Linked DNA regions of Styela clava. Each later gene encodes a partner of the first gene's protein in a complex. Links are inferred from orthologs where the notes say so. Each region holds a gene or a part of one and is shown in the gene's direction. Other genes may lie near its edges. The genes, in order: protein lin-9 homolog, protein lin-37 homolog, protein lin-52 homolog and protein lin-54 homolog.

What was found.
Region 2: the proteins of protein lin-9 homolog (region 1) and protein lin-37 homolog are in contact, whole or in part, in a crystal structure (PDB 7N40), measured with the Homo sapiens proteins. The link is inferred for Styela clava from reciprocal best matches to the Homo sapiens genes LIN9 and LIN37. Residues at the interface, in NP_001353174.1 of Homo sapiens: Lys99, Ala101, Ser102, Gln103, Lys104, Ile105, Gly106, Arg108, Leu109, Arg110, Leu112, Leu113, Lys114, His119, Trp121, Cys122, Ile123, Glu125, Trp126, Phe127, Thr227, Leu237, Phe238, Leu272, Ser273, Asn274; in NP_061977.1 of Homo sapiens: Tyr95, Ile97, Leu99, Phe100, Asp101, Arg102, Val104, Leu106, Ala107, Phe109, Ser110, Glu111, Asn112, Thr113, Pro114, Leu115, Tyr116, Ile118, Cys119, Arg120, Trp122, Met123, Asn125.
Region 3: the proteins of protein lin-9 homolog (region 1) and protein lin-52 homolog are in contact, whole or in part, in a crystal structure (PDB 6C48), measured with the Homo sapiens proteins. The link is inferred for Styela clava from reciprocal best matches to the Homo sapiens genes LIN9 and LIN52. Residues at the interface, in NP_001353174.1 of Homo sapiens: Leu335, Gly336, Phe338, Phe342, Leu343, Ile344, Val346, Thr347, Leu349, Ser350, Lys351, Leu353, Met354, Lys356, Lys357, Ile360, Leu363, Arg364, Asn367, Thr368, Ala370, Glu371, Lys374, Ile382, Phe384, Gln385, Tyr388, Ala389, Val392, Leu395; in NP_001019845.2 of Homo sapiens: Asp61, Met64, Leu65, Leu68, Gly69, Leu71, Thr72, Thr73, Leu76, Met77, Val80, Leu83, Gln84, Leu86, Ala87, Leu90, Asp93, Glu94, Glu97, Met98, Arg100, Gly101, Leu104, Asn105, Ile106, Leu107, Glu108, Pro110.
Region 4: protein lin-9 homolog (region 1) and protein lin-54 homolog share a complex: the UniProt entries of both Homo sapiens proteins name them as parts of the DREAM complex. The link is inferred for Styela clava from reciprocal best matches to the Homo sapiens genes LIN9 and LIN54.

Annotation. Positions count from the first base shown.
Region 1 is NC_135259.1:13,480,111-13,487,957, forward strand, and holds protein lin-9 homolog, read left to right. Parts: upstream 1-4,844; 5' UTR 4,845-4,947; coding exon 4,948-6,546; 3' UTR 6,547-7,641; downstream 7,642-7,847. Other genes in the region: protein Spindly-like, read left to right, coding at 7,655-7,796. UniProt on the Homo sapiens protein: Acts as a tumor suppressor. Inhibits DNA synthesis. Its ability to inhibit oncogenic transformation is mediated through its association with RB1. Plays a role in the expression of genes required for the G1/S transition.
Region 2 is NC_135253.1:13,439,314-13,446,049, forward strand, and holds protein lin-37 homolog, read left to right. Parts: upstream 1-4,319; 5' UTR 4,320-4,482; coding exon 4,483-5,232; 3' UTR 5,233-6,233; downstream 6,234-6,736. Other genes in the region: uncharacterized protein LOC120326047, read left to right, coding at 6,263-6,446.
Region 3 is NC_135251.1:22,036,036-22,041,610, forward strand, and holds protein lin-52 homolog, read left to right. Parts: upstream 1-3,899; coding exon 3,900-4,250; 3' UTR 4,251-5,071; downstream 5,072-5,575. Other genes in the region: mannose-P-dolichol utilization defect 1 protein-like, read left to right, coding at 2,194-2,928; D-aminoacyl-tRNA deacylase 1-like, read left to right, coding at 5,106-5,148.
Region 4 is NC_135260.1:20,924,107-20,931,663, forward strand, and holds the start of protein lin-54 homolog, read left to right. Parts: upstream 1-4,544; 5' UTR 4,545-4,694; intron 4,695-7,557. Other genes in the region: dynein light chain Tctex-type 5-B-like, read left to right, coding at 2,284-2,449. UniProt on the Homo sapiens protein: Component of the DREAM complex, a multiprotein complex that can both act as a transcription activator or repressor depending on the context. In G0 phase, the complex binds to more than 800 promoters and is required for repression of E2F target genes.

The DNA of each region.
Region 1 (7,847 bases):
ATTATTTTACCTTTTGCGTTACAGGTAGACAAAGTCTTTCATGGTCCCCTTATTTTCGTAGACGTAGATGAAGTAGACCCAACAAAGTGATCTCATATTTGGATGAAGTTATAATGTATATAACAAAAATCGACTTTTCAACGATGTTTGATGCAATATGAGATTGTAATTGGATGTAATAAAAACTGTTCGGTTATATATCGACTGGTTTTAGTTTTATCTGCATCTTTTCAAGCGATATGTTATCGCAGTCAGCCACTATTCTTTGCAGTTGCGTATATTTAGTGTAATATGAATTTCGTGTTTGAAGAAATAGAATTAACCTCGCTCGACCATGGCGTTTTATATTGCATTTGCCTGCTCAATAATCTGAGCCAGGGTTTGAACGATACACCTGTATATTTCTCATCAATTTTAGCCAAACAAGCATATGGTTTGTTACCAGTCGATCATGGTTCAATACCTCTGAGATCGATGATTAATGACAAAAAAATCTGCGAGAAAACACTCACAAAGTCCTGGAATATTGAGAGTTATAAACTTTCGATGCTAATCTTATATTCCCCTCATACAACTATAAGAGAAAATACCAAATATTCTAAAATATTAATAGGAATGAAGGAACCTTCTATCCGTTCTTCCCAATGTAACGCTATGCGAATTTCAATCACTTCCGTTATACCACGTGACTAACGACAGCGCTAAAAAACGCGCTCGCCGCTGCAAGTGCAGTAAGTATTCTGTGGCGTTTGCAGCTGCCGCAAAACCATGGCGGTGTTTTCATACCATGGCCGCTACGGCCAAACCTATGGCGACTGACTTTTTAGCTGCCACAAACCAATGACGAGCTGCCGTTACCGCGGCAGCAAATTTAAAACCAATGGCAGGTAAAATTTTGCTGCCGTAACCACGGCAGGTGGGGCCGTAAAGACAGGGCTGGTGGCCGTAAAGACAAGACCCTTATGGTGACAAATATTGGGTAAGTTGGAACGTTTTTCTTATGGATACAGTTTTTATGGATTTTGGGTTAGGGTTTAAGTAGATATAGTTCCACATAATCAATTAAAATCTGGTACATTTGTTTGTGAATATACCGTTTACTGATTACTGAATACTGAAAAGCCCTATAAAACCATGGCAAGAGCTGCCGCGGTTCGTTCGTGGCAGGAGCTGCCATGAAGTGGTAAGAACTGCGCCTCCGCCGCTGTGCCACGTTCTCTTCATAGTTGATTTGTCTCTTATTTCCTCGTGGCATTGTTATTCCCGGTGGCGTTGATCGCTTAAAATTAGGACTCTTTGTGATACTAAAAATATCAGGCCAATGGCAAAAACGAAAGCACAATGAAGAAAATCAGATAGTTACGCTGGAAAAATCAAATGAAAACTTTCTTTTCGAGCATATTTAGATGTTAAAAAATGGATGTCAAGTTACAAAAGTACCCGAGACGTTCATGTTAAATAATTTAAACATCAGAATTCACAATAAAATTGTATACTCAGTAACAACTATTAATTAATTTGGAATATAATTCGATCATTTCGAAATAACTGAAACAATAGCATAAGCTATCTGAGAGACGAACTTAGATATATGAATACACAATGAAAAGTTATCGTGTATCGTGAAAAGTTATCGTTAATACTTTTCTGCATTTCACCTTTTCTATATATCTACAGTATTTGTTGGTGGATTATTATGTTTCTTTTTCGAAGTTTCTAACTCGAAGCTGTTAGGCGGTAAAACTATTCAAACAAGAACAACAACAACATAATATTGAAACGATCGTTATGTCCACTACGTGTCCAATAATAAATTGGACTCTTTGTCCAATAAATAGGCAACTTTGTAACGTATAGAGCAGGGGTCACCAACCCGTTGCCCGCGGGCACTAAGTCGCCCGTGAAGACCACATTAGTCGCCCGCAGGTCTGTTCCAAAATAAACTTAATAACGACGCTTATGGGTAAGCTGCTTCAATTAATTTTTGTCACGTTATTCTTGTATAAATCACACTTATGTCTTATTTGGGAACTGGGAACAACACTATGTTAATTGATATGGTAACGATCATCCTAACTTTTATTTGACCTCAGTAATGTGACGGGTCATTTAATACTCTCCCAATTATGACATCACACAGATGTCACCTTCGTGTCCGTTGATTTGTGGAGCAGCAATGCCAATAATACAATTATTGATTTCAAAGAAAATGGCAAAAAATCGAAAGAAAAGCTACCATTTTCACGATGAATGGGAGGTGGATTTCCTTTTACCACCGTGAAAACAGCTTGCGTATGTCTCATTTACGGGGCGATTATAGCGACGACAAAGCAAAGAGACATTTCACATCTTGTCACTATTCATTGGTGAGCGCAGTACTTTCTCCTTGTTGAAAACAAGATATTTATAATTAGTTGAATTTGGTTTCAAATGTAACATTCGGCAATAAAAGTGTTAAGTTCATTTCATCTTAGGGTTATGCAGGGTGTTTGTAAAAAAGTAGGTACATTGTGGACCTGTGGTCTCCGAGGATATTATTGTAGTGATCACTTTAAAATCAATTCGAAAAACACTCATTTTGAAAATGGAAGTGTCATTGCTAGTAATTTATTTGCTACGTTGTGATAATCGTTTGATTTCCTGAAGAAACCTAAAGTTTATCAGTGTTTTTATTAAATATCAGTAATTATCAATATTTGAAGGTTAATCGAGCAAATCGACTTTTTTAAAAGTGTGCATCAAACTGATAGCCCTCGGCTTAATCGGTACCCAGAAAGTAGCCCTCGGCTTCGAAAACGTTGGTGACCCCTGGTATAGAGATTGGAATTGATTAATGGTGCAAACCGTACAAAATTAGCACTTTTTCACGTGACGCACAAGATTTCCTTTTGGGCCGCATTTGGCCCGCGGTCAGCAGGTTGCATACCCTTGATCTAAATAATCGGGTTAGCATCAATATAATACAATTTACTAGCTCAAATAGGAAATGCGTCAACTTTATTTCAGAATATGATACTTGTAACATCACATGATATAGCGTCAACATCAAAACCGAGTGTAATTTTACTGCAAAGTGCAATAAACACGACATTTATGTTCTAAATTCTGAATGACGATCGGTTGTTCAGAATGGGAAATTGTTTAAGTTGTATGTTTCTGTCTTATATCTTTCGTTAATCTAAATTAATATATTCTCACGAACTTCCACTGAGCCCTCCGTTTGTGATATCGAATAATGATGACATTACAGCAACCGACAATAGGAAACATACAAGTAATTTCTGCATGACTCAGGTCTGTTTTAAATACTTTTGCTAATGAATAAATAAACAGCTGAAATTAGTACAGTTTAGAAATTATAGTAGGCGTTGGCCTCAAATTTCAGGGATTTCCGTCAAAAAAACTCGTTCATAACATGGCACCCTTTTAATAATAAATTTGGTCTTTATTAACTGCATATGGCAATGGTTTTAACATGTGACGTCTTGCGTGCCACTTCAAAAATAGCAAGCTAACAATAAGCTACAAATAACAGGAAATGAGAGATTTTATTCTCGAAAACATGTTCAAAATACATGGATGTAACGTAAATAATGAATTAAATAAAAAATTTGAAATGTAAATATTTTAAATGGAAACGGGCAAGATCTAACAAATATTTTTAATTAGCCTCACACCTCGAGGCAATTGTCTTCGCTATTTCTGTATTGCACGCCCTATCGTTTGAGAATCACTACTATATGATGCAGAAATAAACGATAATACAGCGCCACATAACTCAGAGTGTGAAAATTTTTTAACAAAATGTGAGTAACTTAAAATCCAATTTTAGCAAAGGATTTTTTTCCGTAAACATCGATGTATGAATATGCGTTTATAATTACTAATTTGGTTCTAAAGCTACAATGAGCGGCGCTCCAGGAGTGTGTGTACTAATATGGGGTAACTAATTTTGTTCGCCTACTTTACATCAAGTTGTGTAAAAGAAATGAAGTGTAAGGGCAGGAGGTATATTTACTTGATTAACGCAGCCAGTCCCCGAACTAAAGTAAAGAAAACAAATTGTAATAAAATTATGCTCTAAAGCAGGGTGGTCCAAGGTTGTCGGCTCCGCGGGACACATATTTATTTTTTTATTGTTCGCGGGTCACAATAGTGCCAAGAATAGGTAAACATTGCAATACAAAACAAATACTTTTATTGTGCAAACACATAGTTATCAGACATAACCATCCCAGGCTAATAGAATCCGCATTCAATTTTCAGTTTTCTATGATACCTATAATCTTAGCATATATTCCCGACCAAAAATATAGAAAGCCAGATAATAATTTAGACTGCCAAGCACATCATTCAACTACGCTAATTGCCTCGGCTAGCCATAACACTAGTCAATTAGGTGACATTAGTGATGTGACAATATATCAAAAGATTTTTCTGATTAATTTTATTACGAAACAACACGATATGCGATTTATTGATTGCTCCCCGAATGTGACGCGGACCACAGATAATGAAGCGGCGGGCCACATGTGGCTCGCGGGCTTGGGTTTGGACCACCCTGCTCTAAAATCTAAATAAACCTAACCTTGCTACACACACTACGAAAGTACCCAATCAGCTACTTTGGACACGATTTATAATACTTGAATGCTTGACTACCCAAAATTTGACAGCTTTAAAACGAATGTGCACAATTGAAGTATACCATTTGATATAGAGTTCTGAAAATATTATGCGGTTATGACTACAGTTCATTAAAAATTAGTTCATGTTTCATAATTTGACATAGTGCATCGTAAATTCTAGTAAATTTTATGACGTTATTGATTGGGACGTCTTTGCAGTTTCGCGCGAAATCCGCTTGTTGATGATTTGAGAAAGTTAGTCCGTCGTTTCGCCGGTTTCCTGCATATAGCCTACTGAGCAAGGTGCTAAGGCCTAAATATGAGTTGGAATTCTAGTCCGGGTATGTCTCCGAATCGACCACAGAGAAGCAGGAAAAGAAATAAGCTAATATATTATGGTGATGATGACGTCTCGAGCGAAGAGGAAGTTAGAATGAAGAAGCGGAGAGCGTTGAAATTGCTTGAAAGTCCACTTGCCGCGGAACAATCTCCATCAAGTTCGATTGAAAATGAAGCAGTTGTGTCTTTACCTGTGCCTACGTTTGCACCATCTACTCCTGAAACGCCCAGTGGTGCTAGTACCAGCTCTAATATTGCGCAGAGCAGTGTTGCAGACAGGACAATTGCAAAGAAAATAGGTTTTCGTCTAAAAAATCTCCTCAAACTTCCGAAGGCTCACAAAATGTGTATTTATGAATGGTTTTACTCACATATTGATAAATGTTTATTTGAAGGTGACAATGATTTCTTACTTTGTTTGAAAGAATCTTTCCCTACTCTGTCAACAAAGGGTCTCACAAGGGCTCATTGGGCAAAAATTAGACGAATAATGGGTAAACCACGCCGGTGTTCTGGAGCATTTTTCATGGAAGAACGAAACTCATTAAAAAGTAAAAGATTCAGAATTCGTCAACTTCAGCAGAGAAAGGTCAGTGCAGATGATGGGTTTACATTCAACGATCTACCAAAAGAAATTCCAATGTCACTGATCCTCGGTACGAAAGTAACAGCAAGACTTCGCGGATCCCATGATGGCCTATATACTGGACGAATTGATGCTGTTGACGTTTTAAATTCATCTTACAGAGTAACCTTTGACAGAAGAAATCTTGGTACCAAAGAAGTTCCTGATATTGAAGTTGCCAGTGATGACCCTCAAGAGACAATGCAACTCACGTCTCTTATCGATAGAAAAAGGCCATTTTATAATATGTTTTCCCCTATGCAGCCAGATTTTAATGACAGTCTTCAAAGTCCCACAAATGAACATGATCCTGTTTTGGGTCAGTCTCCGTTGCGTAGTAAATTTCCAGGCGGAACTGGTGGTACATTGGGGGGTTTCCCAGTTAAATTCCTCGTTCAGGTGGCCCGCCTTTCAAAAATTTTAGCCATCAAAAAAGAAAACTTACAATTACTCGAGCAAATGAATTCACAAGCGGAAAAAAGTCACTCGTATGGAGAGACTCTGCCTATAGAGTTTCAAAGAAAATATGCAACCGTTGTTTTAGAACTTGAAAGACTGAACGCAGAGTTAAATTCTCTGTTACTCGGAATACAAAAATTTTGTTTAGAGCTCTCTCCTGAGAACACAATTTTATGTGACCAAGGATCGCACGTTAGACAAACAGCTATGGAAAACGCAGAGCAAATGGTAGAGAGTAAAAACTTAACTACAAATGGGAAAAAAGCAGTCAAAAATTGTGGCCTCACAACTCTTGTGAAACAACTCACTGCCATCATGATGCAGATTCGCTATCTCAAAGAAAATAACGGAAATCCTTTCGAATTTAAAGCAATTACAGATTCCATGGATAACATAAAAGAAAAAATTATGCCTGAAAATATGGAGTCTTTCCAAAATAATGTTGAAATTCATATAGCTCATATACAAAGTGGAATGAACAGAATTCGAAAATAACAAATTGAACGACACTTATTTGACATTATTCAGCGATTATATATTGTGATTATTATATATTTATTTGGTCTTATAATCAGACGATCATGATACATGGTTCAAGTTATTGTAGGCATTACATTCCTGGAAATTTTAATCCATGACCTACATGAATTACGACTGTTAGACATTTGTCCCTTATTGAAATACTAATGTGTGAATTGCATTCTAGTTATATACCTCTCTCATTTACTCTTAAATGAAGATGTTTTCACTGCATTTTCTTTGCAGTATTGTTTTGTGAACTCTAATTAGTTTTATAGTTGATGTGTTTGCGACATAGCCAACTAAGACTATACTTTAGCATGACAAACTTATTTTTTGCGAATAATTTTATTGTCTATTAAATTCAATATTACTATTTTTACTACGAAATGATGATAAAATTCAGACATCGAAATTTTTTTGAAGAAAAGACTTTAATAATTAGTTTCCACAGAGTAACTACATCATTTTTAATTGCATTTCAACTTTGAAATAATTTTGTTATGTGTTGTTTATACAACAGACTCGATCACTTTATTTCTGCTATGTGGAATAGTTTGCTCTATAACTGTTTTTTACTTTGTAATAATCCCATTTACTATAATTCATTGACTGAACAAGTAAGGCAGTGGTCGAGTTTAATTTTGGAAAAATAATTAGCTCAATTTATTTCATTCATTATTCTTTCTTGGTGAAACTATTGGTGACTGGCAAAATCTTATCTATGGAATATACATTGTTGAATTTGTACTATTTGGAATTTTTTCATGGTGTTTGAACCTAGATTTCCTGAATGTTGACCCTATTTTCCCTTATGGATCACATTCAAATAATCTTGGCGAAAAATCTTAGGAAAATGTCAAACTGTCTTCCTTATGGAGAGTTCTCTCTTATTCCCATTCTTTAATCAATATCTCAATCGGATTCCTTCACTCGGAAAGAAGTAGTCCTAAATAGAGTAAATATTCTTATTTTCTTTATTTGTATTCGTTTCAACTTCATCTAATGTCTCCTATTTGCTTTCCTATATTATTATAAATTTGTCGTATTTGGATTACATCTCTAGATAAATTCTATTAGCTGTATGTCTAGCTTTAACTATTTGGAAATGGATACAAGACTTCAACCTCTTGATGATATTCTGAAAGACAAAGAAAAGGAGATCACAAAATTAAAGAAAAATTTGAAAGAACTAAATGAAAATTTGATTAGAGCAGCAGAAGCGGGTATAGTATATTGAATATGTAACTCAGAGCAAGAAATTGATGTGTGATTCT
Region 2 (6,736 bases), on another chromosome or scaffold:
AATTGAAAGGTGCTGTCGAAAGAGGTGGTACGTATTTGCTCACCCAAAAGTATTAAATAAATTAAAACACGCACGCAATACACATACATTCACGCAGACAAAATTAAACTATAATAGAGAAACATAATATTATATTGGATACCGAATTAGCTAATGGTAGTGAAATGTATAGGAAAATATTTCTAAAAAGATATCGGAAATCAAGTCTCTATACAGCAGCAACGTTTTTGAAGGATCCAGTCTCCTAATTTCATCCACACTTTTAAAAATCTATAGTTTTCTCCATTTTGTTTTTCCCAGCTTTATTCCAGTGGTTTTTTTTTATGTTTTTTGGTGCAGTGTTTGCTGCCGTGGTTGAAAAATTTTTTCGCGTTAGAACCATTGAGGTTATGTTAACCCTCTATAGTTATATACACCTCAATGGTTAGAACCCGTACGTACCGATACCGGTATGAAAAAAATATAATATGGTTTATGATACCGGTAATGAAAATGTTAGACTTATTGTATTTTGATGTTATAACAACTCATACTGTTTTAATTGTTTACATTTTTTGTTTGCTATTTAATCGTCTCATATCTTACTTTGACATTCCTCTGCAAACATAAAAAAATTGATCATCATATTTATCAAATTCTAGAATGTTCGTTCCACCTTTATATTTAGTCATTTGAAATTGTGAATCTTAAACATTATTGCGTGAATAGGGGGAGTTGACTTTGATGACCGTCTAGTCGTATCACTCCCTCTTGTCTATACCAAACTAATTTATTGTTATTATTTATTATTACGATGACTGTTATTTTATTTTGGTTGGCGAAATAATAAATCTCTCTTTCTCTCTCTCTCTAAAGGAAAAAATGGCGTGGGGCCTATTTAGCACCCGGGGAAATGCCGCGAGTGCTGTAACACATTTTGTGATTGTGTGCAGGGATTGGTACGGTAAACGACAAGCGAATGCAAAGTGGGTTTAGGTCGGGCGAGTATCAGTATATGAACAAGGACGAATAACGGTGTGGTATGTGAATCAATGTGATACAGTGATAAATGCTTATAGAATATTTGGGTCTCGTGAAGCGAACGCCGTAACTGCTTAAAGCAGGGGTCTCAAACCCGCGGGCCAATTGCGGCCCGCAGGACGATAGTTTGCGGCCCCCGCCTTGGTATGAAAGTTTAATGTTAGTGCGGCCCGTAAGTCACTCAGCTCAGTTAGAATGATTGATGCATTTGATATATGATCAGGACAAGTAGAGCAAAACAAAATATTTTATAATCTATCCACCGAAAGGAATATGCGGTACGGTAACCTACTAGTACCGTACATGTAGGCATGATATTCGATGGACCTTTGACCCCGAAGAAAATTTTCTTATACTTCACCATTACAAATTCTTGGTGCTTATTTTAGAGGTGGCTTCGCGATGTTTCACGTCATCAATTTGATTCAAAACATTCAACAACCTGTTTTTCAACAGTACCGGTAGAGAAATTTAACCTAGTCTATCACAGCTATTTCTAGACTAATTTATGATTACGGCAATTAAGCTACGACGCCCAAGCAATCAGAATGATCATTGAGTTCTTTGATTCATACTTGAATTTCTGAAACACAACCCAAAACTAACAAATAGCATGCAAAAACGAGGTAATGTTTACAAACATGCCTGAAAATCTTTCTGAGTCACAAGTGTCTGAGCGTTTGCGGAAAAGTCTATTGTTACGTCACTTTTTGCGTCCTGCTGATTAGCCCACGTTACGGAATAAACAAGGAAGTAGATGCTCGGGGAAAGGTCCATCGCGATATTACTTCCATTTATATTTTTGACATGTTTCGCGTATAGAAAAAACAAAGAAAAAGATTTAACTTTTTAAGTTTAATGATTTTATTGTGGAAAACCCGATGCGGCCAGGACTCACCAAGGCTCCGTTTCGGCGGCCCCCAGGTATATTGAGTTTGAGACCCCTAGCTTAAAGGGTCTCGTGTAGTTTCGTACCTAACGTACTTCTAGTAGGCGTAGCATAACAATATTTTGACATGCCAATCCTAACCCTCACCTGACTACGCCATCCAAAAATTACGTCACAACACGTCATAGAGCTTGCCAAATACTCGTACGATCACCCGAAATGGCATCGGCGCCGACGATAAAGAACTGACTAACGCCAGCGGTCTCTCTCCTATCGGGATCGTTGCGACGAGAGAAATGGCTGTTCGATTTCGCGTTCTCGTCTGCGCGTCTTGGATGACAGTTCGCATAGTTTGAAGGGCTCTATTACGTCACTGTGACGTATTTTTTGGATGGTGTGGTGGTGGGGGTTAGGGTTGACGCGTGAAAAAATTGTTATGCTACGCCTACTAGAAGTACGTTAGGTACGAAACTACATGAGAGCCCCTGCTTAAATACCCCCAACACAAATGTCCGAATGTGGTGTGAAAATGAATGTTGTACCGTACCTGTAAGTGCTCAAATAACAAAATTATGATGTGAAAATACAACCCAAATTTATTTATTTTTTCTAAAAATGAAAGTCCGTCTTGCGCACACGCTGAACACAATACGCTAAACGCATGTGACAAACGGGAGGAAGACAACTCGATACGGGAGCAGTACCCGTGCGGTACGACGTTCATTTCACATCACAATTTTGTTAGGCGTTACTTGCTACAGGGGTGGTGACTCCTCTACGACCCATGGGTCGGGGCCACGGCCCATCTAATTGGGCCACATGGAAAAATTTAAAAAAAAAGGAAGGCCAGGAAAAATTTAATTATCTTACCAAAATTGTCAATATTCGAACCAAAAAATAAACTCCTGTAGTATGTGTACCAGGTTAGGGTTTGGGCAAAATTTTGTTCAGATTTTTTACATTATAGTTCTATTATGAGTTTGGGGACTGTTTGTGTTAGCCAAGTGAATAGTTTTTTTACACAACTTGATGGGCCGCGGCCCATAGCCTGATGGGCCGAGGCCCAATTTGATGGGCCGTGGCCCATGGGCCGAAGAGGAGTCACCACTTCCACTCGTTACTTGAGCAGTTACGGCGTTTACTTCACTAGACCCGAATATTTTCGGGTTTGGTATAGTTTAGTACCACGTGCACTTCCAGGCTTTTAGTTAGCCTGGCTCAACAATTTTTGTATATGTCATTCCTAACCCCCACCTGGCTTCGTCACATAAAAATTACGCCACTACTGCACTACCATGTCCCAGTAGCGTAATAAAGCCCTCAAGGTGTACGGATGATCATCACCCGAAATCGAGCAAGCTATTTTTCTCGCCGCAACGATCCCGATATGAGAAAGGTTGCTGGCTCTAGTGAGTTCGTTATCGGCGCCGATAATGCCATTACGGGCGATCGTAGCTATACTTCGGCACGCTCTATGACGTGATTGTGATATCGTAGTGACGCAATTTTTGGATGACATAGTCAGGTGGGGGTTACAGGTTTGGGAATAACATATGCAAAATTCGTTATGCTACGCCCACTGGAAGTACATATGGTACTAAACTATACTAGACCCGAAAATTTGACGCATGTTCACTAAATGCCGTGAGTCCTTCTATTTGGTATGGAACAACCATTTTTGCACATGTAATTCCTGGTTTCGCCATTGGTTACGTCACCACGACCTCACAATCACGCCCAATACTGCACACTATCCAGATTCCAAGAATTTGGCTCAATAGAGCAAACACTCCATGTGTCTCACAAATGAGGGGCGTCTGGCACCACGTCAGATCTTCATATCACGCCATGCCTGTCTCAATACTTATCTTTATGTTTCGTGATGTTTTTTGGTAAAATTTCTCGAATGCCACAGTAAAAAAAATTTTCCTTCTGTAAATCGGTTTATTTTTTCCTGGGGAATTCAACGATGACGTTATTAGATTGGGCTTTTTTGTAGTATTTTGCGCAACTTCATTATACTGTATTATTATCGATATTGAAGGACAACAATGTCCAGACGTCTCCCAAAGGAGGGGTGTTTGATCATCGGTAAAATGGGTTTCTCTGAAACGAGACAATGTCTCTCGATCTGTATAGTGTGCCGTACTGATGCCAAGGAGCTTGCCAAAGTATAGTCTAGCTAGGATTGCCCGAAATAGCATCTTCGCCAACGATAATGAACTCACTAATGCTAGCGATCTCTCTCATATCATAATCGTTACGACGAGAAATAGCTTGCTCGATTTCGGGTAATCATTTGCGCGTCTTGGATGGTAGTTAGTATAGTTTGGGGGGCCTCATCACGTTACTGTGATGTCGTAGTGATGTAATTTTTTAATGACTGGGGGTTAGGAATACCATGCAAAAATGGCTGTGTGATGTTAACTAGAGGTACTTACGTCGTGTTATGAACATGGCCCCAATTTTCGAACATGGTAATTATTTAAAAAATTATCACTACTGCTGTACTGGTTTCAGGTTCTTGATATTACCATTTACAGGTATTACGGTACTGATAAGAAGATTCACAAATGAAGATGTCTCAATATTCTTATGAACAAGAACTTGATTTTAATGAAGCAAGAGCGGATTTGGATAGTGTACTTCAAAACATTGTAGCAAAGGCTAATGCTGGAGATTCGTCTCCTGCCAGTGATAAAATAAATGACATTGAAAACATGTTGCTACAATCAGATAAAAATAAAACAATATCTGATAGCGAAAGTCCTCAAAAATCTAGTTCCAGGTCCACACGCAAACGTCGAAGAAAAGATGACAATAAAGAAGAAAAACAGAAAGCAAACTCTTGTGTTATGAAATTATTTGATCGAAGCGTTGATCTGGCCCAATTTTCAGAAGATACTCCGTTATATCCAATCTGTAGAGCTTGGATGAGTAATGATCCATACACAAGAAAGGTACATGGTATTCCATCTGATGATCTTGATGAGGCTTCCGTCAATGATGGAAACTCTGATGAGCCGGTTACAATTCCACCCCCTAATACACCATTTAAGAATTTTAGTCCTAATGGAAAATATGTGAGTGCACGTATCCCATCACCCATTCCTCAACCAAGCGATCGACTGGAAGATTATTTGCAGCAAAACAAGGTTATACCTAGAGCAGAAACATTGCTATTAAATCATTTACAACATTGGAAAAATGTTCGGGAGAAATGGATTGCAAAATCTGCAGAAAATGAAGAGCGTTATTCGTCTGGAATGGCACTATTAAAAGATATGGCAAACAGGCAACTTTGTGCTAGTAATCTTACATAAAGGAGTCACTATATCATAAAATGTCACTGTGATAATACTGTTACTGAGGGGCTCCTGAAGTATGCGAACCAAGATGGCGGACATCGGAATGTATATGCGTACTAGGTTAGGGTTAGGCCATAATTTTAGCTATAAATACTACGGGAGGCTCTTGGCTAGTCTTCGAACTGTTAATAGGACTAAAATAAGGAAAATTGGAAAAAAATTATCGCCTAACCCTAACCTGTTACCCATGTTACGTTCCGATGTCCGCCATCTTGGTTCGCATACTTCGGGAGCACCGTTACTGACTTACTGTAAACCTTTCAGTAACAGTGCCTCTGCATGAATTGGAGGAGATATAAATGTTATTTAGTAAAGAAGTAGGATTCAACCCTAACCTGGGACACAAGAATTCAAATAATATATCTGTAACCCCATATTACCAGATTTTTTTTTGTCATTGAAATACAATGGCAAACTGTTTTTAGTGATTTTTTGTGTTTGTTGCATAAGTAGCAAATGGTTTCAATTTTTCCAAAATCATCAATTCTCTCACATTCAGATTTTCATTTCATTTTCACATTTTTATATTATATGAGTAACCAAATTGAAATATTGTTTTTAACAATAAACTAATTTATTTTGGAAGAAACCTGTTTTTACCTCCCTTTCTGAGTTATTAATTTAAACTGAGCAGGAAACAATATAATTTTGCTATCAATGAGAGAGACAATAGTACGATAATCATCAAATTTAGTGACATTTGTTTAAGACCGACTAATTGTGATTGACATTTATACGAATATTGGATTTCCCATTTGTTACAATATTTGTCTAATTAATCCTCTCTAATGAAGTGGGGGGACTATGGCAGCCACGAAATATTCTAAATTTTATGTATGTTTTCCGTATGTTTGTGTATTATCTTTCTGTTGGGAGGAAAAGTTTGTCGCCTCAAAAAAATTTGCCCTTTCTATTTCTACCTTACTTTACATAAAATGTGATTTTCTATTTCAGAATTTGAAGTTTAGTATAGTAGCCTTTCAATATGGTTAAAATATTTGTTGGTAACATACCATCAGATTGTGCAAGAGCTGATGTTCTTGATATATTTGAAAAATATGGGAAAGTGAGAAGTTGTGATATCATCAGGAACTTTGCATTTGTTCATATGGACAATGAAGATGATGCGAGAGATGCCATTGAAGCACTTAACAACTCAAGATTCATGGGTTAGTACTTATGAATCAAGATATGCAATAGTCACCTTATTTTGCATTTTTGTATTGATTTTTTTTGGTTGCATTATGTAAGCTAGTTAGAATATTTTATTTGTTCCATATTTTAGAATTTAGCACATTCCCGAGAAGAGTTTTTAATTTATACATGATGAGACGATTAATTCATACTTTTTTTCCAACTCCTATTCCGTATACTGTTTAGGCATTTTACCATTTCATACCATACTGAGGCTTTCGACCATTTCCATTAATTGCAAGCTCATTGGTATCTGAGGATACAC
Region 3 (5,575 bases), on another chromosome or scaffold:
AGTAGATATAGCTGAATTGATCTTTATTTTACCATTTTTCATGTAATTCTTTTTGGTAAACCTGTTATCTATCGTAAATACAGCACATTTGACAATGTTGTAGTGTGACTATTTTGGCCTCACATTTTTGATATTTGTAGTTAGAGCTTTTGGGGCTCTGTCAAACAAAGTTACATACAAAATATTGATTGTAAATTGCAAAACATGTTCAAGTTGTTGGAATAACTTGGCATTTTACCACCCGTATATCATTCATTGTTGAGAATATTAATAAAATCATAAAATTTAAAAATCCGTTTTCGTGAAATTTTTGTTGTAGCTGAATTCCAGGGACAGCATGACAACAGGCAAGAGAAGCACGGTCGCCTCTTTTAGTTTATGACAGGGTTTCTTAAAAGGGGACCCCGTCCTCCTTGGAGGCCGCTGATCGGTTATCTGGGAGCACGAACAAACAGATGGAAATGCGAATATATAATATATAACAATGTATTTTTATAGAAGATAAGAAGCAAAAGTGTTGAGAGTCTTTGGTAGTTTGAAAAGCATTGGCATGGAACATAAGAATGAACTACATTCTTTCCCAGGGATATACTATAAAATGTAGCAATTTACTCATTCTTGTTCTCGTGATATCATTATCTTTCACTGCGTCGTCGTGATCATCCCGCTGCATAATAATTCTCGCTAACAAATAATTGACTGTTCTCCACAGGGTGTATATCAACTTGAACCACTGGCGACTGCATTAGCAGGCTTGTATTGTTAATTGCAACAAAAACCGGTATTTTGAAATAGTACTCTTTATTTTACGCGTATGTTTCTCTTTCGACAGTATTTACATATGTACAGTATATGGGTCGCGACCCAAAGCTGGGCTCAACAAATACCTAAAAGTTATTGATTTTATTTCCTAGTAAATTTGGTGCTTGCGTAGTTTGTGCACCAAGATTGCGCACAACCTGAACATAGTATTGTAACAGGTTGTGCGTCATTATGATGCACAGGTTTGACGAAAAACACTAATAATACAAATATCGAGCCGCTGCTCAAGGCTGCAAACTCCACACCCATGTAGAAATGATGGGCAATGACCCCAAGATGAATAATCACAAATAAAAAAAAGATGTGGCTCAAAGGGCTAAGCGTTAGGAATACGCTCGCCACCGCACCTCTAACTACTCTGCGTGGGTTCGCAGGTTCGAATCCCATGCAGGGATGGTTATGTGCGAGAGGATTGCTGGACTCCTTGGGTGGGTGGTTCACGTAACCGCTGGTCGGTTACGGCTTCCTCCACCCCTAAGTCCATGCTTCCGAAAACAAACAATACAGTAAAATCTAATCCCATACCCGACTTGGAATGGTAACCGGACGAGAGGCCGTGGTTCGCCATATGGATAAGCCGTCTTATCGGCTTTCCCCCCCCCCCCCCCCGGGATAAATATGTAAATCCTATCCTCCTATCCTAAAAACTTTATATCTGAAATCAAACTTGGCCAAAAAGGTCCCCTTATCTGCCGGACTATAACATGTCATGACTCATGGCGGGCACGTATGCAACGTTAACTTGAAAGGCAGCAGTCACAGATTTTGCTGAGCAACACGGCTGACAAACGCGACGAGGGCGGTCATGTTTGGCGGGATGAAAAGTGTTTTTATCAATTAAAATGAAACAATAAACTTTTCGGTACAATATCGGGTTCCAAAGGACGGATAGTCAATTGAAATATAAGATAAATGAAATGAAATTCTGATGCAAGCACGTCTATCTTCAATTACAGATAATTTGCTGAGGACTCTGATGACTTTAGATAACGTATCCAGGTATCTTAGATATTGCCCTAATAAAATTAGTAAAAGATGTCAAAAGAATCTGCATATTGAATGTTTCAATACATCAGTATGTCACTTGTCACTCATTTCTGCATTTACCGGTACTGATTTATTAGGCATCATAGCCTATAAGCTATAACAGATTTTTGGTATGATTGGGTTGATTGTCCGTTAGTCAGTTCTGTTTTATGATCTTCTGCTCTTTATGGTTGATTTAGTAAACAATAGGCGCTGCTTTGCTGTATGTTCAGTTGTTCAATGGTAGTAAAGATCAATATTTTTGTACAATATACAGTTAACTAATAGCTTATTGTTAAAAATTTAATATCAAGTACTGTACTTAGACTGACAAAACCTTACATTATGGAAGCTTTTCGGAGTCTCATGTCTTTTTTAATGACTCCTGTGTGTTATGAGATCTTTTTTACTGACTTCAATTTTCTCGACGTACCATGTCTGAAAGCAGTGATCAGCAAATGCTTAGGATATGGTATTATCATGGGAGCAGTTCTTGTAAAAGTACCTCAAATTCAAAAGTTGTTGAAGTCATCAAGTGCGGTGGGAATGAGTTTTTCTTCTGTACTGTTGGAATTGTATGCAATCACTTCCATGTGTGCTTACAGCATTGCTAGAAGTTTTCCATTCAGTGCATGGGGTGATTCATTCTTTTTGCTCATCCAAGTCACAATTATAGCCTGCTTGGTACAATACTACCGAGGTAAACCTCAATTGGCCATCGTCTTCCTTGTAATTTACTCCGTCATACTGTTCGTATTGGTATCTGGTATCACTCCCACAAATGTTCTTGCAGCGCTTCAAGCAAGCAACATGCCTGCCATAGTTATAGCAAAGATGATTCAGGCAGCTGAAAGCATTAAAAATGGACACACTGGACAGCTGTCGGCTATAACTGTTTTCCTGACTTTCATTGGTTCAACTGCCAGAATTTTCACTTCAATACAAGAGACTGGAGACAACATTGTTATTCTTACATATATAGTTTCTACAATCGCAAATGCAGTAATATCTTTTCAAATCATTTATTACTGGAAAGCCACTGAAGAATATGTTAAAAATTCTATGAAAAAGCAGCAATAAAGTCGAAGGATGGCTGAAAAAACTTCCAATTTTTATTAGTAGACCAATCGGGTGCAGATGAAATACACTCTCTTATACATGGACTGTTGTAGTTATTTTAGAAGAGATAATATTTTATTGCGCAATGTTTTCGAAGTATTTAAAGGCATAATGTTTTTATTTATTCATTTTTTCCATTCGGTCAAAATCTTATCCTGCATATTGTTTTTGCATGCAATGTGGTTCATCACATAATTCTATAATAAATAAAAACAAACTTGTTTGCGATGATAACCAAATGGGTTTTAGAATTTTTTGGCATCTGATCAAAATTATTCATCAAAGTTGTATTTTTAACTGAACCAATTTCTTTTATGAAGCAATATTTGTATTTGTTATTGCACAAGTCATATTCCATCTCCTGCATCAAGCAAAGCAGTAAATTAGAATGTTTTCCTTCAAGTATTTTAGCAAGTATTCATGCATGTTTTCAATAATTTTAGACAAGAGTGCTATGTAAAATTTTATTTGTGTGCCCTTTTCAATAGAAGTCTGACAAGATTGTTTTTTTCCATTTGGTATTGAATCTCGTACCTGATGAGTAAATTAGAATGCTGTTATTCAACAAAACTGCAAAAAAAGTGCTATTTTTATTGAACAATAAGACTAATTTTGCCAGTAATGCTTCTTGTACAAATACTAGTTGCTTTGAAATCGAGAGGAATGAAATTGACAAATATTGAAATTGAACACCAAGTACTTCAACAATCGATAGCCAATGTAGCAACAAGATATCTCGCTATTCGTTGAATATTTTGTATTTAAATCGGATTCATTTTTGCTTTTTTAACAAAATTTGAACAAAATCATTTTAGAGTACTAGGTAGTACTTGTAAGCTTTGTACTATGCATTATCTGCCTATTACAACATGTGATTTGAATTAAATTGTTTTCTCAGTTTTTGGACATAGTTTTAGTTATATATTAAAAGCATGGCCAGTTCATCTGAACCAAATGATATCGACGAACAGTTGATGAGCTTTGAAAAGCTTGATAGAGCTTCTCCAGATCTATGGCCAGAACAATTGTCGAGTGTGTCAGATTTTATGTCTGCGTTACGAAGTCCGATGTCACCTAAATCACCGCCAAAATGGATGGCAGAGTTAGAAAAGGACGATATTGATATGCTACAGGAATTTGGTAGTTTAACAACTGCAAATTTATTGGAAAAAGTTCGTGGATTACAAAACCTTGCTTATCAACTAGGACTAGATGAATCTCGTGAAATGACAAGAGGAAAATTTTTGAACATTCTCGGAAATGGAAAATTGTTTGGGAGTTGATATATGGAAAAATCATAAATATTTATATGTTAAAATACTGGAATTTAGTGAGAGGGGGCTGTTTTATGCAAAAAATGCTTTAGTATGTTAATATCGTATATGGATATAAAAATATATGAGACTATCTCTATCAGTTATTATGTGCTTATCACATAAGCATGGACGATTGCTGCAACCTTCAATGCATATATCTTGACAAAACAAATTTTCACTGTATACTGTAATATCTTTGTCAGCCAGCTTGTGAAAGCGCTGTGATTTTGGAGTATTAGAAACTTGTTTAAATACCGATGTTGATTGTAGACATTGACAATTTGGTTAACATACCAAATCTAAATATTTCAAAATGTGATGCACAAAAATATAGTTTCTCATAAAATGAAGCATTTGAATGTTTATGATGATGGCTTCTAATTTGAAATTATAGAGCTCTCTATTCATAGAGTGGAGATAGAATCATTTATTCCATATCCTTCCAATGCAAATAAAGATATTAAGATTGATATTAAAAGGTGTCCTTGGTTTTTAAATTTGTATTGCATCATCCTCATGACAGTTAGAGCAGCCTTAAGCGACGTTGCCTGCAGAACATGTTTTATTACGAAATCCTCATATCTCGCTATCTCACCAAGCTGATGAGACTATTTGCATTATTGTGCTATGCTGTTACTGCAGGCCTCATATTGTTTACTTTATTTGTTGATTTTCTCTATACCAAAGAAGTGTGTTTTAAATACAAGGCCTGGGTGGCAGAAATTGTGTCTGTTATATTTTATACTCAATACAATTTTATAGGCAATATTTTATCTGTTGTTCTCTAGCTTTGTTTAAGTTTCATAGCCAAATGCTGATATTATGAAGGCCATTATTCAAAGAGTTATGAAAGCAAGTGTCACGGGTGAGAGTACAAGTCTATTCTAATTCTTCCACATTGCTGAAAAACTTTTTTAAAACAAATTTTAAATCACAATACCAGATAAATAGATAATTGTGCCATCTCATTTCTTGAATGACATCTATCATTCTGTAACCCTCATAACTTTTTACAACACTTATTTGTGCGTTTTGCTCTGAACACGGCCCTGTTAAAGCAGCCAGTGATATTTAACTTAACATTTATAGGGGCTAATGTTTTTGGGAAGACCGTAATCTATCTGGATTGGCATTACCTACTCAATTTATTACACTATAGGTAAGGTTGTGAGATTCGAAACAGAGTTGTGTAAACTGCGATGCCAGCACTCTCAAGCCTAAGGCTACAACCACTAGGGCTTGTGCCACTCACTCTCTTTTGTACCACCTAAATTTACTGAATTGTAAATTTC
Region 4 (7,557 bases), on another chromosome or scaffold:
TCCCGAATACCCGGAATCGCGCCATTGTACTGAGCAGTTTGTGTATCGTGATTCTTTCCGATATTTTGATACACAACATACAGAAAATAAAATTGAAATAAAAGCAAAATGTCTGGAAATTGTACAAAAGATTGTAAATATGGTTGAAGATAGATCTGCATTGTAGTGCATTAAAACAACGACAAAATTTTTGATAGGTGCGTACATTTCATCAGAAATGAAATGAACAGTAAAGATCCTTTGTTTTTTACCTTCATTATAGTCAGATCGCGCTAAAAACGAATGATTTGAGTTGCATCGATTTTATAATATATACTACAGTAAAAGCGTGGAGTCGTGACTTCGTGTCTGAATTATAATCACAGAAGTTGGGGACGAAAAACTGATTGTGTTATTTTAAGTGGAGACTCCCCTATTGGACATGGCGTTCGGTATGTTTTTTTTATAAGCGTGCTTTTTATAAGCGGATAAATGAGGAACGATTTTTCCGAGCAAAGCATTGAATTTTGTGACATACTCAAAATTATTTCACACAGGTTCGGAATAGTCATACAGATATAGTGTAGGAATTAAATTTCCAACATATATTATATTTGAATTATTGATTGCAATTTTTAGTACTCCATTTTTGCGATAAATATAAAATCCTACTTTAGGTTCAGAACTCATATATATTCCATAAAATTATCACAATTTTCAGCACCCGTAAATATCCTATTGTAGGTGAAAGGGTTGTATTATGGAATTTTAGAAGTGGCTCCTGATTGTGGTGTGTTCAACTGCAAATTATTATAATACCGTACTTCATTGGGGCATTTCGTTGCGAATTTCAAACATTATCAGCTCTCAAATCACACTGACTTTGGTGGCTAGACACGATTCATTCTCTCTACGTCTAAGAAAGATGCCATGGATATACAACACGGCTATTGATGTTGTTTGTCGGCTTCCGGTTCGCCAGTAACTAAGAGACTAAATCTGTCGTTCGGTTACAACTGTCTAACACAGTGATTCTCAACCTTTAAATATTTCTGCGCATCCCTGCGTTCGCCAACGTAGTTACGTACCTTTACAGTGCGGCAACACAACTTTAATAATTTGTAATTTTGAGTTAGAATCCGGTCCCATGAAAACATGCAACAACAAAGGGACCTGTTGGATTTTCTTGGCACTAGTTTTCCCCAAATCCACTGTATCATCTTCAACTCTTTAAGATTTACTAGTGTTTCTCCCATCGTGCTAGGCTTTTTGCTTAGCGATTTGTAACGTCATTTCGTAGTATTCTGAACGAATACAGTGCTTTGTTTGTTAAATCTACTATAAGTAGGCTTTTTACTATACGTCCCGGTGGACCTAAATGTCCCGGTCATACAGTATGGCAGTTATAAATATATTTTTATATTAAATATTAATACAAAAAAAAAATTCTCGGCGCGAGCAGATCATTCACCACTGATTTGCCACTTACTTCCGAGTGAGAGAGAACTACTAGTATATGTTACATTAAATTATTCGAAATGCTCAGAAGGAAGTTTTCGTTTTCCAATGAGTTGAATGTTACTAAGATACTAAAATATTACTAAGTCTCGGAATCGCACCAAGGCTTGCCCAATGTCCCGTTTTTTGTTTGTTTCATAATTCATATATATGATGAGTCTAACTATAAGGGGATATTACATTCACTTCGGGTTTCTCTAATCGGCCGTTAATCCATGAATTGTTTAATCGCAATAATTATTTAAAGATATAATTATTGTATACTGGCAAGCGCATCCTTTGAGTTTGTAATACAGCGTTTAAATAATAAAAAAGTACAATTTTGGGGGACCCACTGGAAATGCTTTGAACCCCTTGAGGTAAGCGGACCCCCGATTAAGAAAATATTGCTCTCATAGAAAATATAGCGTTTAATTCTCCCTTTATTGAGATTGTAGTTTCAATAATCAATATCAACGAAACTTCGATACAGCATTATTTTGACGCTCTCTCCCTTACCGGTTACGAAGATTCGCCATATTATATACCAACAGCAACAGATATGTATGTGTGCGTAATTTCAAATACTGTTGTTGATGTCGCCACCTATCCGTTGAGTTAATCTGATTGAGGTTTACAATACAGGCTCTGAATGAGGTATTTCATACTATATTGACTATGGGTGGGATTTCGTATAATTATTATAGAAACAGGACACGCGATAACATTTGCGCCAATATTGAAATAATATGACTTACAAGAACATTTTCGATATCTTTTATGGCTTTACATTTTTTTACGTTTCAGGCATAAGATTATTGTACTGGTAAATATTGGACAGATAAAAGATCAAGGAGTAAGAGTCGGTAGTAGATGTCTCTGGGACGACAAACGTGACAACTGGGCAGGAGCCAGTTTTGCTAATTCAACTCTTTGGGCAACGGCGACGATTTACGCTATTTATCACGAATGATAATTGTTCACAATATTGTTGTTGATATACTACAATTTTTGGGCTACTTAGAATAAATATAATATTTATAGGACAGAACTGCCTGGTTAATTTTGCTGTGAATTGAAAGTTACATCGTTTGACTAGGTCGGGGTTTTCCACAACATATCCTTAAATAGGAACTTGTTCGAGGTTTCAAAAATTCAAATGATAATTCAGGACTTTGTTCAGACATAAACCAACAGCTCGTGAATTGTGAGAAATGCTTCGTTCCTTGATCCTTGACCAAAGAAAAAAGGGCGAGACAGATGAATTGGAGGACAGAGTCTATACAGAATTTGTTTATTAGGGGAATTCTATTAGTGTAAAATTTCAAGACCCCCGATGACATGTTTCGCACTCTCTTGCATACTAAGGGTTTAATTCATTTTACCTTTCTACGCTGACGGTTAACGAAAATGCTACTACCCTCAAAAAGTTAGTCCGCTTCAGGACGACGGTGACGCGATATTGAACGATCACCAGTTGGTCGACAACTTCACGACCCCGAGATCGTCATGGGGACCAATTTAGTCGTAATTTTGATCCCCTTTCCTCGGAAGACGAACACAGTTTGGGAAACGCTGCACTAGAATAGACTATATGTTACAGTCAGCCGTGTATTTTCATGAAGATTCATAAGTAATATTAAATATCACTATAGAAAAAAACTTGTAGACCTATATACTCCATAATCACTACCCCTTTATTGTCAAAAATAGTATTAACGTATGTATTTTAACATACGTTTCATCGAAGACAATTTTATTAAATTTTGGATCGACAACGTATTCAGAATTCCAGTTAACTATGTCTTAAACAAGTATTACGCAAGTGTTCAGATACGGAAAATATGAAGGAATCCATTCGCTAACGTTCAAACGAGTTTTATCATATGTATAGGCATTCCTTCAAGATCTTCCGTTGGTTTATTGTTCGAGCTGAAGTTACAAAGTTTTCATTGATTTCAAATATCCGACATGCTGTGCGCTAAAAACCTGACATACTGTTCGATTCGGACATTATTTTTTTTATGCGGTCGTCGTTGGTCTGTCCCCAGGATCATTTAAATGTGATCACGGAACTACGCACAAAATTTTTATTTTGTTGACCTCATCACACAAAACTTCGATTGAAAAACAAATTTCATGGAACCAACAGATATTTTTGAAATAAATAAAAGTATAAGGCTTCTAGCAACGACAACAAGCTGTAACCACTGACAATTCTAAAGCAATTGGCCCAGTAGTTGGAAATAAGTACTTAGTTTCCACAACAACGATGCCACACCAAGTCGATCCATATGTCTACCTCGTGTCCAATAATAAGAGCAATCTACATGTAGGCCTACATTTCTTTTCCAAAAATTAATATTAATGCTTATATTTTAAAAATATTTAGTTATTTAGTAATGACTTATTCATAAGATACTTCTAATCCTCACCAACGGGGATAAACCAAAACCAAGGCCGATTACCTCAATGACATGATTGTTATTCCCAAGTTTAATTCTGTAGCCTATATATATTTATTGAGAATTTGGTGAATTGTCCATTTATTTTAATATGTTCAGCACATTAACCAGTATTTCATGTTTATGAATTGATGCAATTCGATTGTGACATTATCACGGCTTTTGTCCATATTGAGTTACTGTATTCCGAATTCCGCCATTTGGGACTTCTATAATAACTGGCTGAATAATCCCAAACGCAAAATGAATTGGTAACCGAACGAAAGGCTGTGGTTTGTCATATGACGAAGCCGTCATCGACTCTCCTCCCCCTATATAAAAATGTTAGTTCTAATACTAATGTTTTCTTAAGAAAACCAGTCTCATTCGATTGCAGGCGTACGGCTAGTATCGGTATGTTAGTCGTTGGCTAGTATAGAATAATGCAGATATCAAGAAGAGTTGCAGTCGATTCATATCACACCTACTTCATACAGTATTATTATTAGTAAGAATAATATCTTTTTAATCAGAATTATAGCCCAATATTTTCAATTGTTTTTATCCATATTTGTTATAAAAATCGATTTGTGGCTTTTACTGGCGCGAAATTGAATCGTCGATGAACCGCATCATGATGTCATATCGACCTTGATCACCTGACGAAAATGGGCGATTGTCATCGCGGAAAGTTTTGAAAGACGTTTTGCTGCCTGTGCTTCTGTTTTGCTAGTCAGTTGTTGTATGCCTGGTTTTACTACGTTTTATTGCGAGGTAAGATATATTTACATATTTTCAGAAATTTTTGCTATGGCTTTTACTTCTATACAGCAGGGCAATGTACGGTAACGGTATTCAGGTTAATAAAAATAACGGCGGAGTGGACTATATCCAGGATATTTGCCTTTCCTGAATCCAGGAATCTGTCAATACAGCAATTGAATTCTCGTATATCTGTATATCAACAGGTCGATATTACTATTACAGAATATGCTCAGATATAACAAATTTTAATCAGTTTTATGTCATGCTTGGCAGGCACTTCCCGACATTTGCACTTCAGCACTTACAGACTTAACTGCTCAGTCAATGCTGTTGTGTGGTTTATCGGATCGAATTTACATATTTGAGCCATTAAGACGACTTAATCCTATGGAAAGCCTCTCATTCGGCAGTCCGGTTACCAGTTCATGTCAGAGTGTCGGGTATCACATATCGTGGTACTGCAGTACTGTGGTACCCGTATGGCTGTACATATGCAGGTACAGAGGTATGGGATTGTGGTGGCTGGGAGGTGAGCGTATTCCGAACGCTCAACAACATGCAGACATGCATGACATGTGCCACACCGTCGTTATTGTTGTACAGTGGGTACGGTATGTCTTGATATCTGTAAGTGCAGAAGTGCATTGATATTTAGTAATTCAGCATCATGAGCTTGTTGGCAGAGGACAATAGTGCTAAGCATTGTTGCCTTAGGACAGTCTGACATTACTGCAGTACGAAGACTGGAAGATGCTTCTCATTCTCAGATTCTGCCTTTGCACCCCCAATTACCCAGAACTAACTTCTGGATTTACAGGCTCGAATTTCTGAATTCCTTAATCCAGTACCGGTACCGGTACCGGTACCGGTACTGCAGTTATCATCAGTCATTCTGATATCTCAAACAGATACCTGAACTGGCGGACTGGTAACATTATTAGGAAAGTAAATGCAGAAATGGATAGGAGGCAGTCCTAGTCGCCAAACTGGATTCCATGACAGGTGCACGCTCGAGGGCGCTAGCGCTCCGCAAAAATGCACGCGAGCGGATTCAAGTTTGCACACCAAAAATTTGCAATTGCTAACCAATGGAAATCGGTTAAAATGGTTTTTAAATCAATAATCTAATAATATAAAGATGCTAACAAACTGTAGCTCCACAATCAGACAATTGTTGACTACATACTGCTGTACTGGCTTGCAAGCTTTGGCCTGGTCGAAAAATGTAAAGCAAAAAAGTCCCAAGTCCATGCTTACTGAAACAAATAGCTGGCTAACTGATCCCATACTGTACCCAACAAGGACTGGTAACTGGACAAGAGGCCGTGGTTAGCCATATGATTGAGCCATCATACTTTCCTCTCCCACAAGATAAGTATGTAAATCCTAATCCTAAAAAAAAGATCTTATTCCATAATTGCTTGCCGGTGTGGCGCATCGTGTTGAATGATAAGAATCCCATGAGAATAGTTATGGGCGAAAATATTGCCAGACTCCTTGCCGACACTGGTCACAGTGTATTCCACGTCCAATAATTTGACGCAAAAACACTCCCAAGATTAATGACAAAATATAGAAACAATGATTGGGGGTCAAAGGTCAAACGTCCATTTTCTCTGATTCAACGTATTTTTCATCCAATAATTTTACGTTAAAACACTCATAAAATTAATGACAAAGTATATAAGTGATGTTTGGGGGTCAAACGTCCAATTTGCTCTGATATAACATATTTTTTATCCAATAATTTTATGCAGATGTACTGAACAGTGTCGGTATCTAAAGTCACACAAACACTCCCAAAATTAATGACAAAGTATAGAAAAATGTTTGGGGGTCAAATGTCCATTTGTTCCGATTTAACATATTTTTACCCAACAATTTTATGCGGATGTACTGGACAGTATCTAAAGTCAAAGTCAGTTGCACACTGGCACATTCGTTTTGCACGCTGTGATCTATAATTGAACGCCGGGATTTCTGATTTGCATTCGGGAATTTCTGATTGCACGCCCGATTTCTTGTGCAAAAAGGCCATAAAATCCAGACCGGCCTAGTCGTCTTACTGTCATATGATAGTATGATTAAGTCATCTTATCGACTTTCCTCTTTCTCTGAAAAATACAGTAGGGCACAGTCCTCATATTCCAAGATGTACCGACATTCGGTTCAATAAAACAAACACTCAATTTACCTTTGATACGAGGGGGTTTGGATTTCATAGCCTTTTTTTCAAAAGGAATCGGGCATGCAATCACAATCCCGGAGTGCAAACATGGCATGCCAAACTTCTGAGCACGCCTGCAAATTTATCGAAACCGTGTGAATACCTAGATTTGCCAGCGTGAAACTGACAGAATGGTCCTATTTGAGAAGCAAACTTGAATGAACAAGTGTAGTGTTATATAAAACATTCCAACTGGGGCTTTGACACACAGTCCCGGTGACGATGTGTATTTTTGCATAGGTCAAAGGTCAATTAATCGGCACAAGCATAAAGATAACAAAAAGCCTCACGTTCCAAGAGGCCCATTTGGTTGTTAATCGCCATGGGTTTTGGCATGTTTGTAAAAGCTGAAAGTTGCGTGTTGACTATAATCGGTCAGTTTGTAATGTTAGAACCTGTTAGTACTGTTTATTGGCAACTGTTTTATTCCTTCACCCTCAATACTGTCAGATATAATGGTGAATAGTGAGCAATCACAAATATTACGGCGTGCAAAATAAATTTTGCTCGCGTGCTTTGTCGCGTAACCCTAACATGCTCAGGCGTGCACCTGCCAGGGCCACAGAATCCAGTCTGATATGGCACGACGGCAGATGCGTCAGATCATGCTATCATTGTCTCAATAATAATCAAAATCGCGACATG